Nothobranchius furzeri: one gene and its partner. The protein of the gene in region 1 binds, or shares a complex with, the protein of each later gene. Links are inferred from orthologs where the notes say so. Each region holds a gene or a part of one and is shown in the gene's direction. Other genes may lie near its edges.

Evidence for each region. The genes of interacting proteins can lie anywhere in the genome.
Region 2: ahi1 (region 1) and tmem17 share a complex: the UniProt entries of both Homo sapiens proteins name them as parts of the tectonic-like complex. The link is inferred for Nothobranchius furzeri from reciprocal best matches to the Homo sapiens genes AHI1 and TMEM17.

What each region holds. Positions count from the first base shown.
Region 1 is NC_091758.1:20,116,857-20,127,114, forward strand, and holds the start of ahi1 (jouberin), read left to right. Parts: upstream 1-5,342; 5' UTR 5,343-5,760; coding exon 5,761-5,767; intron 5,768-6,464; coding exon 6,465-6,574; intron 6,575-6,796; coding exon 6,797-7,368; intron 7,369-7,461; coding exon 7,462-7,547; intron 7,548-7,621; coding exon 7,622-7,808; intron 7,809-7,937; coding exon 7,938-8,130; intron 8,131-8,204; coding exon 8,205-8,300; intron 8,301-8,383; coding exon 8,384-8,569; intron 8,570-8,665; coding exon 8,666-8,818; intron 8,819-8,927; coding exon 8,928-9,060; intron 9,061-9,222; coding exon 9,223-9,346; intron 9,347-9,461; coding exon 9,462-9,691; intron 9,692-9,797; coding exon 9,798-9,907; intron 9,908-10,258. Other genes in the region: map7a (ensconsin), read left to right, coding at 165-283, 378-616, 704-854, 925-1,093, 1,213-1,317, 1,445-1,495, 1,626-1,857, 2,574-2,584. UniProt on the Homo sapiens protein: Involved in vesicle trafficking and required for ciliogenesis, formation of primary non-motile cilium, and recruitment of RAB8A to the basal body of primary cilium.
Region 2 is NC_091744.1:77,710,351-77,720,099, forward strand, and holds tmem17 (transmembrane protein 17B), read left to right. Parts: upstream 1-3,938; 5' UTR 3,939-4,021; coding exon 4,022-4,136; intron 4,137-4,271; coding exon 4,272-4,375; intron 4,376-4,578; coding exon 4,579-4,692; intron 4,693-4,769; coding exon 4,770-4,913; intron 4,914-5,049; coding exon 5,050-5,127; 3' UTR 5,128-5,785; downstream 5,786-9,749. Other genes in the region: agbl2 (cytosolic carboxypeptidase 2), read right to left, coding at 5,800-5,968, 6,056-6,086, 6,158-6,307, 6,370-6,460, 6,838-6,936, 7,015-7,107, 7,181-7,300, 7,618-7,690 and 4 more. UniProt on the Homo sapiens protein: Transmembrane component of the tectonic-like complex, a complex localized at the transition zone of primary cilia and acting as a barrier that prevents diffusion of transmembrane proteins between the cilia and plasma membranes.

The sequences.
Region 1 (10,258 bases):
GCTATTAATTATACTTCAGTATATCATTAGAAATCTCTCAAAATGTCTAAAATTGCAGAAGCAGCAACATTTGTGTTAAAATTTGTGTCATTCTCCCTCTTGGCCATGGGTGTGTGGAGGGGGCGAGAACCACAGTGTTGAGCTGTTTTTCCTTTTTGATTTAGATCGAAGCCGTGAGACGAGATGTCAACAAGAAGGGCTCAAATGGTGGTTCAGGCAATAAATCAAGAGTGAAACCTGCCACGGGTTCTCAAATTAGAGCAACCTCCCCATCACCAGAGCGGTAGGCAAAACGCCGTCGGACCGTGGTCACAAGTAGACTCTGATTGTAACGTGAACAGACAAAATTGCTTTTCCTCATGTGCTTGACCTAAAAGGAGCCCTCGACGATCGATCAGCAGACATTCGAGACCGCTGCAGCTGGAGCTCCCATCTGTTCCGGAAGAGGATGCTGCTGCATGCGGCTCTACCTTCTCTGCTGGCAACACAAGGCCTGTGAGGGGATCAGGTAAAGGTCAGCCAGAGAAACAAAGACAAGGCGATCCACCAGAGACTCCGTGTTCCAACCCGTCCGACTCTCAGCCTGAGGCTTTATCCAGAACAGCTCTGGGTGGAAGTAAGCCACAGAAAAGCCTAAAACACAGAGGCTGCTGAATGTTTCATTTTAAAGCTGATGCAGCTTTTCTTCTACTTCCTCATTCAGCTGCTCAGGCTCCTGAGGTCGTGACCCAGCCCTCCTCTGGCACTTCAGACCCAGAGGAAGCGTCACGTCTTTTGGCTGAGAAGAGGAAAGTGGCTCGACTAAAACGGGAGAAAGAGGAGCAGGAACGCCCACAGCGAGAGGAAGATGAAAGGTGAAGTCGTTTTTTAAATGAGAAATGAAAACATAAGGACATCTTTATGAATCCTGCAACTTCTGTTCAGGTGTAACCGTGAGGAACCGGAGCGCAGGAGAGCTCAGGAGCGAGCTCAACAGGAGGCTGAGGCCCAGAGACTCGTAGAAGAGAAGAGGAGGAGGGAGGAAGAGGAGCAGAGAAGAGCGGAAGAGGAGAGAGCTCAGGCTATAAAGGAAGCTGCCCTTCTGCAGAAGCAGGTGTCACAAATGTGCAGCTTTTACTGTCAGAGAGCATGAGGGGGAAAACGTCTGCATTACATGGAACCATGTTTATTTTTCAATCCTATTCCTGTTTTACTTGTGGATGTGTCTTACAGAGAGAAGAAGAATTATCAAAAGAAAGAGAGAGAGCTGAAGAACTGAAGAGAGAGCGAGACACTGCAGCACAGAAAGACGAGGCGGAACGCCAAGCAAGAAAAAAGGTCGGTTTGAAAATGAACAAAGATTCAGTGTCAGATTAACATTTGAGTTTATCTGTACACACGAGAATAAAAACATCCCAAGTTGTTCTCCTAAAGACAAAGACTATTTTTTTACAACCCTTTACAGAGACTTGAGGAGATCATGCGGAGAACCAGAAGGACAGATTCTCCAGATACAGTGAGATTTGCAGCTCAGTTTTCAAAACAGCACACCGCCCCGGGTCTCTTGTGACGCACATCCAGCAGCAGCTAATGAAAAGCACACAGCTCATCCTTGACCAAAACCATTTATCCTTTTATAATCACAGAAACCTGCACTAGCGAGGATCCTTCCAAGTCAGTCCCAACCAAAGGAAAACACAGTGCCTGCTGTGCAAAACGGAACGATAGAGGACGCTGTCAAGCTGCCAGTAGGGGCCAAGTCCTCCCAGCTGGGGTTCAGCAACGAGGAGGACGTGGTACCGGTGGTGGCCTTCAGAGAGCGAAGATCACTGAGAGCCCTTTCTGGTTTGGAGGAGATCCAGACCCAGCAAAGAGCAGGTGAGAAAAACTAACGTTAAACCTGTGTGCATGGGCCACCATTCAGGATGGTTGCCCCAAATTAGCAGCTTGTTCATCTGGATGCACATCTGGGTCGTCTATTCTCAAAGATGATTTACTTGTGGTCAGTGGTAAAGGGCCTACATTTGAATAGTGCCTTCTAGGCACTTTACAACACAATCACCCATTCACACACACAATCACACGCTGATGGTGATGAGCTACAATGTAGCCACAGCTGCCCTGGGACATACTGACAGAGGCGAGGCCTCCCATACACTGGCACCACCGGTCCGTCCGACCACCACCAGTAGGCAAGCTGGGCTAAGCGTCTATCCCAAGAACACAACAGCATTCTCTGGTAGAAGCCGGTATTGAACCTGCAACCTTCCGATTACCGGACTACCTGCTCTACCTCCTGAGCTACTGCCACCCCTAAAATGAAAGTGGAAGATTTTTATAATCCATGCATACTCTTCAAACCCTCTACACACTGAAAATGACTGATTTAATTCTGGGATGCATTTATCTGGATGTGTTTGGTAGTCTGAACACATCCCACCCTCACTTCGATGTCCTTAAACCCCCCCAAGGTAAAAAAGAAAGACAAATATATCGTCAGTTTTCAGACACTGTATCATTTCTGCATTGAAGTGGTTGAAAATACTCTTTAAAGCCTTTTTTGTAATAAGTTTTTGCATTTTTCCATTGTGCAGAAGTCATCTGATGTCCTGCTGAGTAGACAGGGACATCGTTGGAGAGCCGCAGGAAGCTGCAGAACAGCCATGTTGTTGCTAACCTTCAGCGCCTTGATGGAGCATGTAAACTCACAGCCTTGCCTCCTCGGGAGGACGTCAGCATCTTCTTACTAATCTGTTTGTAGTCAGTGGCACAAATATTACATCAGTTAAATATTACATATTAATCTAAAATAGCAGAATTCTGATCACTTACAGACGTATCCTAAAGTGCTGTAGAGCTCGTACCTGATGATAGTTTGTTGTCAAAGGCCGTTACTGACCACTCCAACAGTCACATCTTGTTCTGTGCTTTTCTGCTCTTACCTGATAGCTCTTGCTTCCAAAGTGCTCTGCCTTCCTTTGCAGATGTAGAATAGATCAAGACGTGTGTATGTGAAACATGAGTTACTGCAATCGGAGAGACAACAATCACATATGTAAAAGCTGCTACAGGAGCATAGCTTCCAAAGACTTGCTTTAATTTTATAAGTGTGTGTGTGTGTGTGTGTGTGTGCGTGCGTGCGTGCGTGTGTGTGTGTGTGTGTGTGTGTGTGTGTGTGTGTGTGTGTGTGTGTGTGTGTGTGTGGTTTTAGAGGATACAATGCACAATGCTGTTTTTGCACTGACTGTTGCTTTGATGTTGTAGCCTAGTGAACTAGACCAAATTCTTGCTTTGCAAAGTATGTCTAGGCATGCTCCATTGGAACCTCCACAGCTCCTACCAGGGCTCTGGCTGGCCAATCACAGCTCTCTAGAGGGGTTTCAAACACGTAAAGAGCTGTGATTGGTCCATAATGGTGGGCCAATCATAGTGCTCTATCTGCTTAGTGAGCAAATCACAGAGCTTTATCCGCTTTGTGGGCCAATCAGGGCACTCTATTTGCCTGGTGGGTGGGATGATGCAACAGAGTGAAACAAGAGTATGTCACATTCATTGTCCAATGGAATGCGGAGATCATTTGAAAGACAACGGTAGAACCCGCCCCACAACCGAGAGCCGTCAATGGAGCGTGGCCAGACTAAATAATACATTTATTTAGTCTGGCTTGCCAGGCTATTGATGTTGTGCAACCACCCAACAAAGCAAAGTCCCGTAGGTTAAATGTGTTTATTATAATAAAAGTAGAAAATGTGACGGATTCTTCCTATTTGATCTAATAGCTTAAGTGCTGCTCATGACTAGCTTGTTAAAGTGTCTGAATATATGCCATAATTGATTAAAGTTGAATCTATGCTCAATCTATCCTTTTGATCTCATGTTTAAATAAAAACAGTGGAGTAAAAACACTAAAATGCATGGTTCTTCAAGGATTCTCCATTCAGTGCATGAAAGTAAACATGTTCTGGGTGAGTCATGGGTTAACAGGAGAGAGGAGCATGGATCATTTGCAGCAGCTGCCTGATCTATCTGTGCATGCACCTCCCATAGCTAGTCCTCCAGCTCGCTGTTAGCCAGCACCGATGAAATGTGTCCATCTGCAGAAGAAGAAAGCACAAATCTCCTGTCTCATAGATCTAGTCTAAAAATCCTCAGAAAACTAACATAAAGCACAAACCAGTCCCGGACCGGATTATGTTCACTAGTACAAACTGCTCCTTCTTTTTGATACTTGGACGATCTATGATTGAATTACTCAAAGACTTTGGGTCATGTGAAAATGCTCATGCATCTAAATAGGAACTTTGGAAAATGAAAACAGAGATTTTAATGGAACATTTCTGCAGCTTTTCCTTTCATTTAAACAAAAATCCTTTTGCAGCTAATCTGGGCAGATCTCAGATCAGGGGTACCCAAAGTGCGGCCCTTAATGATTTTGTACATGGCTGTTACAGAAAATATATGGAGAATAAACTTAAAATGGAAAATAAATTAATAAACCCACGATTCTGATGGGTTTCACAAGGAAAACTCATGAGACGCCTTTAAAGTTTTATTGATCATTTTTTGCATAAATCTGAAATATTTTGGTATTTTCATTAATACGTTTTTATTTTTATTTTGAGCTAATCATCAAATAAGTGTGTTACTATTTGAATCCTATTTCATATTTCATATTTCAATCTCAGGTGTGTTCCTTAAGCAGGTACATTGAAGGTTTCTCTGAAAACTTCATTTACTTTTTGTTCAACATCTCCCCAAAATCTCTTCAAACGATCAAAAAGTCCTCTGAGCAACCTGGAGCAGCTCTCATAAAAGCCGTGATTCTTCACATGAAATGTTCTGACACTTGTGTCTGCTTCACCTGCAGGACTCACCTGTAAAGTCACAAGACTGTTATGTAATGCATAATTATAGTTTGTGTTAGGAATGTATATATAACTGTTCAGACACTTTACACATTTGTGCAAGTATCAAATAGAAAATCTATAGCTCAAGACAACTTGAATACTCTGACATGATAATTTTCTTAATTCATCCTTCACTGAAGTTACAAAGCTCGAAAAGTAAACCATGAATGTATGTGTTCTCCAACTTTTATCTTAATTAAAAATATAGCATTTTACGGGTAGAAACGTATAAGTAAATTTAATCCTGACTAATTTGTGGGAGAAAGAAGTGAGCCACACTGTTTGCTTTGAGCTCTTGCAATAAGTTAGGAAAATCCAAGTTTATGTTCGTCTTTGAACGCAGCATTTGGGGGGAGCTACACTCATTACGTGCTATAGCGTTCTCGTGTCCTTAAATTTCATTGGTTACATTTTTGTTTGTTTATCTACGTCGCTCCGCCCGTACGTTGTTGACTTGGAAACCATCACGGCGTTGTGCGGTAGAGGACAGTTTAAGCGTAACCCGCGTTCAAACAAGGAGTTTCAAGTAGAAAGCTCACATTAACTTATTAAAAACAATTATATGGTTATATTTTGGTTCAATAATGTATTTCAATAACAAAGATATAACTTTTTTAGGCGTAGTACGTGACCAGAGCAATTTAGCTAGCAACTAGCTAACTAGCTTCTGGTGAAATAGCTAACAAATATTATTAATAAAACATCTCGTGTGTCTCCGTTAAGCGGACACGTTCTAGTATCATTAAGTGAAACTTAATGCTCACTTTAGAGTCGCGAATGTGAGCTGCGACATTTTGCTTTGTATTTTAGATACGCTTTTTTCTGGATTATTGGCGTTTTTCCCTCAGAATGAGAAACAGCACGATGTTTGAAAATGCCAGGTGAGTGTTCAGCTGTCCTGAAGCGACTAAAGAACAATTTTTGTGAATAAATCAATTAAAAAATATATAGAAATTATTTAATAACTAGTAAACCAGTCAAATATCTTTCAGTGACCACCCAATCCAGAGATTAAAGTTTTACACTAAATAAAAAATATATATTAAGTGTTATTGTTAAATTAATATTAAAATCCTTTTAATTTATTACATTCTCTCAGATTATTTGATGTTGTTTTGTATTTTCATGGAAGTCAAACAAAACCAAAGCTGGCAGTAGCTCAGGAGGTAGGGCAGGTTGTCCAGCATCCAGAAGGTTGCAGGTTTGATCCCAGCTCCCGCCAGAGAATTGTGTCGTTGGGCAAGACACTTAACCCATCTTGTGGTGGTCGGAGAGACCGGTGGCGCCCGTGTTCAGCAGTCCCCCTTCTGTCAGTGCGCCCCAAGGCAACTGTGGCTACATTGTTGCTCATCATCACCAGCATGTGTATGTGTGTGTGTGAATGACTGATTGTGTTGTGGTGCGCCTTGGGGGGTTGTTGAACCCTAAGAAGGTGCCGTACTATTACAGGCCACTACCATATGTAATCAGTGTTTTTTTACAACCACTTACAAATTCAGCAAATGATTCTAAAGTGTTTATCTCAAGCAACTTTTGTAATCAAGAATTGTATAGATAACAAAAAATAAACATTTCCAGGTGTGAGTGAAGAGACCCGGGAAAGATTTAATGAAGTCTTCAAAAAATATTCAGGATCTGAGAAGAAAAAGTCAAAGAAGAAAATCCATGAAGCAAACGAGACCATAGTGGTAGGTGTTCTGACATGTGCTGTTTTCCACCCAGTGGTTGTCATCAAATGTTCTACATTCTGGCTGCAGTGTTGTATTCAAACTTGAGTTATTTATGAAATATAATTATAGAAAGCATCTGCAACAGAAGAATGTTCTATTTTCTTTAATGTGAACCAGTTCTAGCAATTTAAAATATTAATAAATCACATGTATTATTATTGTCGATCTCTTTTTTCAAAGCTTCAGAATCTGACCAGGAAGCTGAACCTTGAGAAAGACACAGAAGATGACGAAACCATTCTGCAAAACACATATGACCCTGAACAGGGCAGCCCTCGTTATTCCAAAAACAAACGAAGAGAAAAGGAAACAGCAGAACAGGTTAACTGTAACAACAGCAAGGATGAAGAAGTTAAAGCATCAAAAGCCAAAAGGAAGAGTAAGAGGGACCTCCCTTCTTTACCTGTACCCAAAGACATTCCAGAGGACTTACAGGAGGGGGCAAATGCTTCTAGAGCCGACAATACTTTGAATCCAGAAGCTGCTGTTGGTGAAAAGAAACGAAAAGGAAAAAGTAAGAAGGGAAAAGTCAGAGAAAATGTAGAAGATGTTGCAGAGAGTCCGGTGGAGGATCCAGAAGATAAACTACTGCATGAATACCAGCAGCAGATGGCACAGGAAGAGGAGCTGACTGTGAAGAAAACAAGGGTCAAACGGGAAACTGTTAACTCACAAAGTGCTGTGTTGAATAATGATATGGGGAAGAAGAAAAAGAAAAAGCTGAAATCTGTAACAACTGAGTCAGATGTAGGGTGTGTATTTCTCTCTAATTTTAGCTTTATTGTAGTTTTTGATATCAAGAATAAAGTTTAAGCAGCATTTTGACTTTTTTTTTCTTTAATCAGGGATCAAGATGAGGAAGTCAATCCAGATGCTGATGAGGAAAATAAAACTGAATCAAAGGGAAAGAAGAAAAAGAAGAAGAAGCACGGTAGTTTTTTAAAACAAAGTAATTTGTGTAACATAAAAAGAGATTTTGATGAGTTATTTTTCTCAACTTTTTAGTTGTCAAAGAAGAAAGTGAAGCTGAAGCAGCAGAGGAGCAAAAGCCGACATTTGATGACGGTCTTGTTCTGGGAGTGTTCGTTCATAAAACGGATCGCCTGAAGACGGACTTACTGATCTCGCACCCCATGGTGAAGATCCACGTTGTTGATGAGATCACGGGCAATTATGTGAAGAAAAGGGACTGGTGAGAAGAAGTTATCTCTGATCTTATGCTGCTACACCTATCAGCGTTAAAATATTTGGGCTACAGTTTAAAAAAATGTTTTCATGCTCAAACATTTAATTAAAAGTGAAATCTGTTTGTGTTTTGAAGCCATCGACCTGTGTCTTCCTATTATGAGGGACAGAACGTCGACCATATCCTCCCTATCATGACTCAGCCTTTTGACTTCAAGAAGAACAAATCCATCATCCCCGAGTGGCAAGAGCTAATCATATTCAACGAACGCTTTGGCTACTTTGTTGAGCAAAAGGATGAAAGCCCCAGAGTCATCCTCTTCTTTGAAGTGAGATATACTTCATTACCAAGTGAATAACCATATTTTAAGAAAAGTCACTTATTTTCTAAATATTTTTTAAGATCCTGGATTTTAAGACCATGGAGGAGGTAAAAGCCAACTTGGACGTTGATAAACACGAGCAAGGGTTCAGAAAGGTCGCATGGGCGTTTCTGAAGGTAAAGAGAACATTCTGTTCACTTGTCAGTCTATATTTGTTACTGTTCATCATTTTTAAACATGTTTTCTCTCCATATTTTAGCTTGTTGGCACAAATGATGTTTTAAACATCGACAGTAAACTTCGTCTCCAGCTCTTCTGCCCTCCACCTCGGGCAAAGAGACAAACTAAAACGATAGAAGTGTTTGAGTGGTGGAGGAAGTACCCACGAATCCATTATGCTTCCACCCTTTATGTTACCGTGAAAGGGATCAAACTCCCAGAACATGTAAGTCTGCAGCTAGAAACTGATGATTCATTACGTTTTTCTGTTGTCCATACTTCTACTTTGGTAAAGCAGAGTTGGTTTGTGCCGTTTGTGCAGGTGGACCCCGGTATCCGATCTATGATGGCGCTACAGGAGGAGAGAGGCAGCACCACCTATAGTGATCTGCAGAAAGAGATCACACAGAAAACTCTGACACAGCCTCCTGATAGCAAGCAGCCGATCCTGAGATGGAGCCGTGCTGTTGGTCAGGTCGGCGGAGGCTCCAAGTCACATGATGCTGCTTTCTATCAAATGTTTATTATCTGATCTACTTAAGGAAGTGAAGAGCTCAGGACTAGACCTTGTCTGTGTGTTGCAGATCTGCCGAATCCCTAACAAACTGGTCTGGTCGTTCCGTGGGGGTCAGATGGGATGTTTCACCGTACTGTTTTCTCACGCTGGAACCATGCTGGCTGCTGCTTGTGCCGACAAAGATGCTTTCCCCGTCGTAGGTGAGCCACACCTCATCTGTACAAAATTCACCTTATTTGTGAGCAGCAACGATTTTGGGAGTTTCTTTACACAACTTTGTATTGAAGTCCTCAACCATCCATGCATGCAGGAGAAGGGAGAGGAAGCACCTTTTAAAAGAACGTATTTGTCTAATTTTCCAGTGTATGAGATTCCCTCCGGCAGAGCGTTAGCTGCCTTCAGCGGCCATCTGAAGATAGTGTACGATCTCTGCTGGTCCAGAGATGATAAAAGCTTGTTGTCTGCCTCCTCAGACGGAACGGTGAGGTAAGTTCCCACAAGAGGGCGCAGTAGCCTCTCCTACTATATCAGTGTGATTTTGTTAAGCTTCGGAATACATTTTATAAAACAGCACTTTCTTCCTTTTCATCTCCTCCTTCAGAGAGTGGAATGTCGAGATGCTTCTAGAAACAGCCCAGAAGGTCCTCTCTCATCCGTCCTTCGTGTACTGCGCTCAGTACCACCCCAGCGCTCAGAACCTGGCAGTGACAGGGAGCTACGACTGTCTGGTGCGAGTGTGGAGGCTTGATGTCCCTGATGTGAACGGCCAGCTGCTGCAAGAGTTTGAGGGTCACAGCAGCTTCATCAACACCATTTGTTTTGACTCTGAAGGTATTAGCTTCCAAATGTTTAGATGACCCCACCAAGTCCTTCCCATCTGGTTCAGTCCCTCCTAAACACCTCTGACTGTTTATGGTAATTTCTTTTGTGTAAACAGGATCTAGGATGTTCTCTGCAGACAACACAGGCACCATCATCGTGTGGAAAACTTCAGTGAATGATGACAAGAACCGACAGAAGCCATGTCATCGTTGGTGCATAGAGAGGGTACGAGTCTAGATTAGAGCCCGTGTGGGACTATTCTTTATGTTGTCTGTTTCTGTCACTCCCATGCAATCTCGCAAAGTTTGTGTCCAACCCCACCTCCACCTGCAGCTCCATTAAATAACAAAACAACATGTTTTACGATCAAATACGTTTATATTTATGTCGCGTGTTACCTCTGTAGCCTCAGTTGTACTCTTCATCCTATCAACAGTCTTGAGATTCGTGGTATACTTCTAGCCACCCGCTCCCTCCTACAGCAGTCTCACAACTGCCAGCATCCACCAGATTAGCGTTGGTTTCTGTGGGATCCCAGTCCCAGTGTAGGGCTCTAGTCTAGATTTGTTCAATTGG
Region 2 (9,749 bases), on another chromosome or scaffold:
CGCCGAGTTTAATCAGCAATTTGCCTACTTTCAAGCCCAGCAATGGATTTTAACCTCTCAGTAATCTGCTGCTGACAGAGAGCGCACCGACTTTCCAGACCGAGATGATTTAACGACCCTCTCAAATCTGTTCGACTCTGTGGCTGCTGCAGTGTTTATCTTTCCACACTGACGCAACTGCATGGTCCAGCTGCTCAGATGCTCTCCATGTTCAGCAGCACTAACTTATGAAATGGAAAGAATGGAAATAAATAGAAAATCCCTTTATTGTCCCTCAGTGGGGAAAGCTTGGTGTCACAGCAGCAATAACATTCATTAAAGGAGCAACAAAGGAGATTAAAAAATAAGAATATACAAGAAAATATAAAATAGAAATACTTAAAAAATTCAAAAGATCAAAAAACAATGCTGAATGTATACACATTTTAAGGAATACAAGTCTTTAAAAGAATTGAGACATAATAAGTAACGAATACCACCGATGTGCTTTATTAAACATTGATTTGCTCGTGTGTAATTTTGTTATTCCAGATTCAGTGTTACTGCAAAACTAAGTTTGTTTCCAAATGAATAGGTTCAACCATACACAGCTGTAGATAAAGGAAAATGTGCACATTGTTATCACTTTAAAAATATATATATATTGAATTTGGCCCACGACTTCGTCCCAGTTTTTCATTTCGGCCCAGTGGGAATTTGATTTGGACACCCCTGACCTGGAGATGATTATTTTGACTGAAGCTCCTCTAGAGACCATGAAACCTGGGTACAGCGGCTGGGAGAAAGTGGTCTGAACCTTGTGGAGGAGCATCATCTCACCGGCATCAGACACACAGTAAAATGACAAGTTCCCTGCTTTGTGGTTCAGATAAACGTCCACTGTAGGGGAGACTGGAGCAGATATTTTGGTTTTTCATTCCACTGTGCCAAAAATAGCTCGAAGAGTTTGTGAAGGAAATGCACCAGGACCGATCTGTGTATCCAAAGTCACTTTCTTCCAGCTTGGCTTGTTTGTGGCACAAAGCAACCTTGACCCGAGGGTCCCTCCATTCAACCTCCCAGTAACAAACACCAGACAAACCCTCAGAGCACAACACCTGATCGGATTTTGTGAATCTCTCCGGGTGGTTGGGATAGTGCTGGGCCCTCTTTATCCAGGTCACCTTAGTGTTTCCCTCAGAGAGCAGCAGGTTGTCAAATGCCGTGTTGGGATTCAAACTCAGGCTGCAGGAATCTGAAATGTCCAAAGAGAGACAATGTGATTCAGTTTGATCACTGCTGAAGCCAGATGGGAAATGTTTTACACAAATCACTCACACACAGACATATCCTGCCTGGTCTTTGGATTGGCGTCAGCTTCAACTAAAAACAGAAGATGGGATGTTTCATTAAGAGCACCACACACACACACACACACCAGAACATATGTTTTCTTACTTGTTTCTGACATTTCTTGAATAGCTTTTGTCGCAATTTCCATTTTGTCTCTCACGTCGGACAAAGCCTTTGTCACAAAATCAAAGGCTACATGTGGGTCAAAGTTGCACGTAGGGCTTGCATCAAGTTCTTTCCCATCAAAAATCTGCCTGTATTGCTGGACAATTATAAAACAAGAGCATTAAATTCTGCCATATAAACTCCATAAACTGTGCATGAGTTTGTGTTTTTTCACCTCCAGAAAATAAATGTTATCATCAGTTAATAACAGCTGCTTCAGCTCATCCCGTCTCTTCCTCAGATCACTGGTTTGCCTCTGGAGTCGTCCTATGAGTGCCTCAGCCTGGCCCAGAGCTGCTTTTTCCTGATGCATGATCTGTTCCTTCAGAGCAGCACGTCTTTAATCTGCCACCAACACCAGTTCAGCATAGGCCTTCTCATTTTGATCAAGTGCTGCATCTCTAGAGCACTGAAAGAAAGAAAAATAAATATATACACATATTATTTAATAATTTAATAATGTGTTCGTGTTAATCTGTTAACTATAACCACCTGTAATGCTTTTATTTTCTGTCTCAGCTGTCGCAGACGCTTCTCTTTTTCATGAAGTCCTTGCTGGAATAGCTTCTTGTGTCCAACATGTTTCTAATAAAATATAGAAGTTTTACTTATTTGTTTTTGCTCAATAATGTGTTCAACCACAAGGACATTTAAAATGTAGGAATAAAGTCTCTACATTTTATCTATATGCTGTATCTTTGGGATCCAATAACCAACCAAAAAAAGCGTACCTGTTTCTCTTTCCGCCCTGCTGCAGCTGATACAGTGTAATGACCTTTGTGCTCATCCATGACACAAAGCAGACAAATGCATTCATCGTCAGTGCGACAGCAAACCTCCAGCAGCTTGTCGTGCTTAGAGCAGATCTTCTCTTGCATGGAAGATGACACTTCCACCAGCTTGTGCCTTTTGAAAGCAGCAGACTCAGTGAGGCTGCACATGTGTGGCACAATAAGAGGCCAGACACACCAAGCACGATCTGATAGCTTTCAGCTTCTTCACAGTGCAGAAATCACACTCCACACCTTCTGACCCAGACTCCTCTTCTCCAGCAATGGTGGCTTGGTCTGATTTAGCCAGTTTTACTATCAGATCAGCCAGAACTGTGTTCTTGTTCAGCACAGGTCTTGAGGGGAATGTGTGTAGACACTGAATACAGTTGTAAACACCTCTCGTCTCCTTCAGGACCCAGTAGCTGTTCACACAGTCCATGCAGAAGTCCACATGTCCACAGTAAAGAGGGTTCTTCATCAGCTTTGAACACATGTAGCTGGACAGAGAATCAGCTGCCTCTCTTGTTGCAGCCATCCTAGTTTCTGCTAGAGCGGGAGTGGCTTCACACACAATCAGTAATTTTCATTTTCTCTTAAAGCAAAAAAACAACAACTATGAAACAGGTTTTTTCCTCCTCCTGGTGTTATTTGCCTGACTTGTATAACTAAAAAAAACTTACTGAGCATGGTTCCCATAAGTATGGAAGCCCATTCCTGCCACTCTGATTAAAAAAATGTATCTCATAATTATGACTTACCTATCTCATAATAACAAGACACAATCTCATTATTTAGGGATAGCGTCTCATAATTATGAGATACTATCTATTCATTTCAGCCCCACATCTCATCACGTAGGGTGGAAATTAATCATTAAATGGTATGAATGGTTTGATTAATTAAATTTCATGAACTATTTTTTACTGATTCAAGACTTTGTTAACCCTCCCACTGTCTTTATGGGTGACCCCGCGAGGAAAGTTGACCATAAAGCAGGATTGATGGTTTATCCCTTGAGGTCCACGTGGCAGGGGTGAGGTGGTGCTCACTCCTCACCCCTGCCACGTGGACCCAAGGGATAAACCATCAACCCTGCTCAATGGTCAACTTTCCTCGTGGGGTCACACCCATTAGGACAGTGGGAGGGTTTAAATATGTGCACCAAATTTTACTGGTGCAGAGAGGGAGGGAACTAGACAACACCTATTGAATACATACTATTTTTACATACACATTTTTTGCAGAAAGCCACAATTTTGTTTCACTTAAAACATTGTCAAAGAGAATCAACAGAGGGTTCGATAGAATGTTCGAATACTAAAATGTTCGATAGCTGCAACCCTAGTATCACTATAATGAGATAGCTAGTAAAAATTATGATGCTGTCTCATAGTAACTAATTATTCTGAGACATAAAGCCATATCAAATGCTATCTCATAATAATGAAATGAGATATTTTTTAATGAGTAGCGTTAATCAGCTTCCATAAATATTATTTGAGCTACACATTATACTCTCCCCCCTATCTAGTCTCGCTTTTTAAATTTTTATTATCAATGTAGTTAAAATCTGGGAAGTTTTGAAAACGCAAAAGGAGACACGTTTTGCTTCTGGCCTTTCACTTTCTCTCACCCCCACTACCATCAATGGTTACCATGGAAACGACGGTGGCTTTCACGACGGAGCTAGTAGGAAAAAGCGGAAGTGTTTCTCCTCTGGTCATGTTGTTTTTAGCCTGATTTTCTTTGCAATGGAGCTGCCGGAGACAGTTAGGAGGCGCTTAGAAGATTTTTCTCGGAATGTTTTATTCGACCAGACTCGTAATGAGCCGTTCTCAAAACACAACGACTCGTTTATACCTCACGGTAAAAAAAAAAAACAAAAACACAAGCTAACTATGAAGTCGAGTTAGCATGGATGTTAGCATGGATGTGTGTAGCCTTGTTACTTTACCATACCGATTTTAGTTAGTTCCCCTCATTTTTTTTGTATGTGTTTAGACAAACGGGTTCTGTCCAGCCTCCAGCTCCAGATGTCTTTGTACTTTAACACGTGGTTCTTCCCGTTCTGGTGGATCAGTGAAGCTGTGATGCTTCACCTCAAGGTACGAGGTTGGTGGATGGAAGCCGCGAGCAGAAAACCCAGAAAGAAAGAAAAATCCCAAATATCTAAGCTAGATTTAGGATACTTTGGTGCTTAAGTATGGATATGTATTAAACTATAGCAATTCATTTTAGAATCAGATTTTTCATGTATGTTTTGAAGCTTCCAACACAACAAGAATGCTGATGGTAGTTGTTCTTGCAGTATCCTGCCCTTCCAAATTACTACAAGTTTGTCCTTGTGACTGTTCTTCTACTGATGACTCTGATTGAGGCCATCAGACTTTATCTTGGTTACTCTGGAAACCTGCAAGAAAAGGTGAGACCATCTCAGATGACATGATACAGGTGCTGAATGCAGGGTGGGGTTTGAATGTAATTTCTGATCTGTGGAAGGTTCCAGAGTTGGCCGGCTTTTGGCTGCTGAGCATCCTGCTGCAGTTTCCACTCATTCTTTTTCAACTTTTTAATGAAGCCATAATCATACTGCCCTTGGAGAGAGGTGTCCACATAGTTCTTGCCATATTTATCCTCACACAGGTATGACTGGATTCTCAGCTCCATTTTACGTGGCAAATGCACCTAAATACACATGTTATTGTGTTTTCTCAAATTTGAGATCAAGTAATTGTGACTGATTGTAATCTGTTTTTTTTTTGTTTTCTGATTGATCCAGGCTGTCTTTGGTTTTGTGGCCCTGCGGGAAATGGTTAGACACACAGGAAGCCAGTTTCATCTCCAACAGTTTGACTGACGTCCACATATGTTCTGGTGTTCCATTTGATCAGGATTTATTCTTACTTCATACCTCCCAGTCTCAAATGACAAAAACTATGTATTTGCATATAGGATTTGGTACACTTTCTTCACACAATTTTAAATTTAATGCTAAAAAATAATAGAAAATATTTATTTTTGTATTTTGTTCCACTTGTATCATTGCTTTTGTAAATTTGAAGTAAATCATGTTTACTTGACTCACTCTGTACTGTTAGTTAGCATCTGGTTTAGATTTGTTGACCATTTAGTTATTTTTTAATTACAAAAGAAATTTTTGTACAAAGTTACCGACATTTACGCTGCTCTTTGTTCAGGAGCTTTTTGCTTCAGAGGGACTGAAACGTTCTGACCAAAACAGAAAGTTTCAACAAAATTCATGAAACACCCAAGTGCTTTATTTTATTTTATATTTTTTACAACATTTATTTTCATGTACTGAAAATATTATTTGAGAAATCATGAGATTGCATTAGAATAATCAGAAGAATTAAAGCATGTTATTGTCACAAGACGAAGAGATAAGTGAGATTTGGTATAAAACGTATGTGTTTTTCTGTTAGATCTTCCCAATGAAGCATCATTGTCACAAAAATAACTTGTTCTATTAAAATGCAGCTGAACTTTGAGAAGAATCCTGGCACCCGTTTCACTGCTTTGTCTTGATTAGGTTTGTGTTTGATGTGGAGGACGCCTGAAGACAAGATCTGTTTCTAAAACGATGCCGACTGCTGGTATTGGTGGAGGTGAAACTCGTCAGCGGCTGGTTTTTTGGAACAACAGCTGGAGCCATGCTGGTAGACAAAGATGGGGGACATCTGCCATGAAAGCAACACAGCATACAAAAATTATGAACACACAACACACCCTTTTGTAATAAACTATAATCTATCCATGAAGTTTACCTGCCAGGTGCTGCAAAAGGAGATGTCAGCCCTGAAAGAAGAAGGTGGTTCGCATTAGGCAAAAACCGATGGAGACTTTAAGCTGCTGTTCAAGAAACAAACCTCTGCAGACTTGAGAGTGGGAAAGAGATTGGCGCAGAGGGAAACGCTGGTGCTGCGCAGAGGGAATGAAAGTTGGAGGAAGTGGAAGGAGAGCACTCAGGTGTAGTAGCTGAGAGGAGCATTTCCACTGTCCTCTCACTATTGCATCACCTGTGAAACGAGTCATGCGTCCTTATCTGCTGGAAAACCTCCTATGTGTCTCCTAACCTTACCTGAGTGGGGTGACGCAGCTGCGCGCGTGTCGGCATGTGGAGACGCTCTCCGCTGAAGGCATGAAGTGCACCGGCTCCCTGAGCAGTTTTCCTAAAACACACAAAAAAATACCATAGAAAGATCCACAAGTTGGAATTAAAATAACACTTTTTATTATCTTTCATTAATGATCAAAAATTAAAGGTCATGTAATTTTGTAGCAGAAATAACAGTTACACTTGACAATAGAGGCCCCATTATTAATCTTAGTGCATTAATAAACAAAACATTTCCACTATTGTTAACTATTAGGTGTCCTTAAGGTTAGGACAAAGGGCCATGGACGATATCTGCTTAGTAATGCATTACATAATATGGTTAAGCTGTTGTTAACACTTTTATCTAATAATTTATTCATGCTTAATAATGCACTAAGTAACATTAATAAAGGGACCCTTATTGTAAAGTGTTACCGAAATAATGTTTACCAAGATGTGCTTGCAGTCTTTCCTCAGAGTCCCCTGACTGGCGTCTCCATGGTTACCAGTGGGAGATGAGAGTTCAACCTTTTTTATGAGGGTGTTGAGCTTCAAAATAAAAGTCTCTTATCAGGAAATCAAACTTCCCACCTAGTTACTTGTATCACATATCATATTTCTACTTACTGTAGTTTTTACCTGCTGTTTCCTTCTTTCTCCTCCAACAGGTTTCTCTCTTTTTCTCTGCTTATCTGTGTTGTCCTGAGGCAGGTCAGCCTCCTGCAGAAACGGTTACTCATCAGCTTACAGAACTAATTTAATCTGAGCAGCAAGGGCTCTTTACTAGTCTTACGATACTCGTGCTGCTGCGTTGTAGGACTTTTGGCCGTGCACTACTCCTCGCTCCGTCTGGCTGCAGCCCGTTTCTTTCTCTGCGAGACTTCAGTCGTTTCTTTTTCTTCTTGACTTTTTTCTGTAGGAGAGAACAATGTGAGTAGGTAATTACCCAAAACAGGGAATGATGAGCTGCTGAGACTTTTTTTTTAACGAAGTGACAAAAGTAACTTTTACTGCACACTGCTCTGTCCCTATTTCCTAGCAGTCATGGGACAAAACACCTGGAAAAGACCAAGTATAAAATATTTCTTTTTTTCAGTGTCAGGTGTGCTTCATACCAACATTTATTTGTTTAAATTGGGTATTTTTAAATGAAATAACTAACAATGCTACAAACTAATTTCCCTTAGAGGAAAAAAACAACATAATTTGGTTTAATTAGTCTTTGTATACTTCTGCATTCTGCAGCTGCTGCAGGAGATGAACTGGAAGTCCATCTGAGTCAGAGCTGTTTGAGCCACCGGTGCTGCAAAAGCAAAGCAGAGTAATGCACATCAGTTTCATTCAGATTTCCCTGAATGGCACTAGATTCAAGAAACTGAAACATTATTTCACCTTGTTTCCAGTTCAGACACAGAGACCTTTTGGTCGGTGCCCACATCTTTGCCAGTTCTCTCTCTGACCTTCTTCCCCAGCATTGTTGCCAATTCTGTCAAACAGTGTGTAACCTAAAATAAAATAAATAAAAAACACAAAATTAACCTCTAAACCTGCACAGAACAAACATCTCACACCATTTAATTACACTTTTTAAACCTGATTTATTTATTACAGTTTGTAGAATATATTGTTTCTTTTAGGTGAAAAGGAGCATTTTGTGATCTCTCGCCTTCGTCTTGTCGGGGTCACAGAAGTCCAGCAGGGTGTCACAGAAGTTAAAGCCCAGGGACTTCAGGTCTTGAGTGGAAAAGTGAGTCCCTCTCCTGTCATCTAAAGTAAAAATGAAGAAATGATGGTGTAAGTGTAGAAATGCATCAACATAATAGAGGGGGAGCATATTCACCCAGAGTGGAGCCTCCAAAGGTGGCCTCCATGGTGTAGCTGTTCCTGATGCCGAGTTTCCACATGGAGATTCGCCCAGTCCCCTCTTTGTTTTTCTCCACCCGGAATTTGCAGCTTTTAAAGGAGAACTAAGAGTAAAGATTTAGATGAGACACGGAGATAAAAACCAACTTCTTAAACAGGCAAACTAGAAATGTGATATAAAACTCTGTATAGTTTTTTTTTTTTTACCTTGTTGCTTGCGTTCTTGCTCATCATTAGTGGAAAGACCCTCTCTTTAAGTGTGAGGGATGCGTCGCCTCGGCTGCTGCAACCATACATGAAAACGTTGTTTTTTCTGTTGTGGCCGTGGAAGTCGCAGTATAGAAGCACCTCTGTGTCGGCCATCAGTCTGGAGAAAGGGTGGGTGGAGATAAACACAAAGTCTCACTCAGACCAGAAAAATTTTTGAATTTTTCACAAGATATATAGGAAAGTTTTGCTATTTTAAACTTGATAAATGAATAGCAGATTACATCCAAACAGGATAAAATGGAGATGACCGGGTTAAAGACCAGCCTGCAGGTTTTAGATCATACAATTTGATTTATTATATGTTTAAAATAGGGGCAAGAATTAAAATTCAACCCTAACCCCCCAACTGGAGACTGAAAAATTTTAGCATCGCAATTTATGCCCTATATATCAATCATCAAGCTGCACCTCAAACACTAGAGCCTGGACTGGAAGACCATAGAAACTTTTTTATGTGCTCCAAACACAAGTAAAACTACAATTAAATGAATCGTGACAAATCATTCTTCATGAAGGAAAGAAAGGATGAAAAAACTTTTACATTTTTACTGTTAAGTTTTGTAGTTGGTAGAAAGCAGGCAGGCGGTACCTGTATGAACTTTATTACAGCAGGAGGAACAAGCATGTTGTAACTATCTGCAGAACTTCCCCTGAACTCTACACTACACCTCTATGTATATCAGTAGCACTCAGTTCAGTACACATTTACAATGTTCCGTGTCCATTTACACTTCATCAATAACACATTTACTAATATTTACACATCTCAACCAATCACATGATGGTTACCTTTATAATGAGACCAAAGTTATCAAATAGACCTTGTGGTTACAGAAATATACTCACTAAAGTGTGGGTGTGCCATCTGTGCCTCACTAACATTATTTTTTATTTTAAAAATTTGCTTGGGCCCAAACTGTCTTGAACGATAAAAATGCGATTAATCAAAATTAATTACAAAGCCTCTAATTAATTTGATTATTATTATTTTTTATCCTACCTTTAGTTTAGAGCTGTGAGTATTCTTGGGGATTTTTTTCACATCTTTTAATTTTTAAGTTATTTATATGTTTGTTTTTAAAACACGATTCTATCATATCCACAGTATATGTTTGACTCCCATTTAAAAGAATAAAATGAAATATTTAAAAACTGCCGAAAGCATATCATCTGTGTTTTGCCGGATCAGGGCTTCCTACGCAGTGTGCCAACATACACGGAAAAGCAAA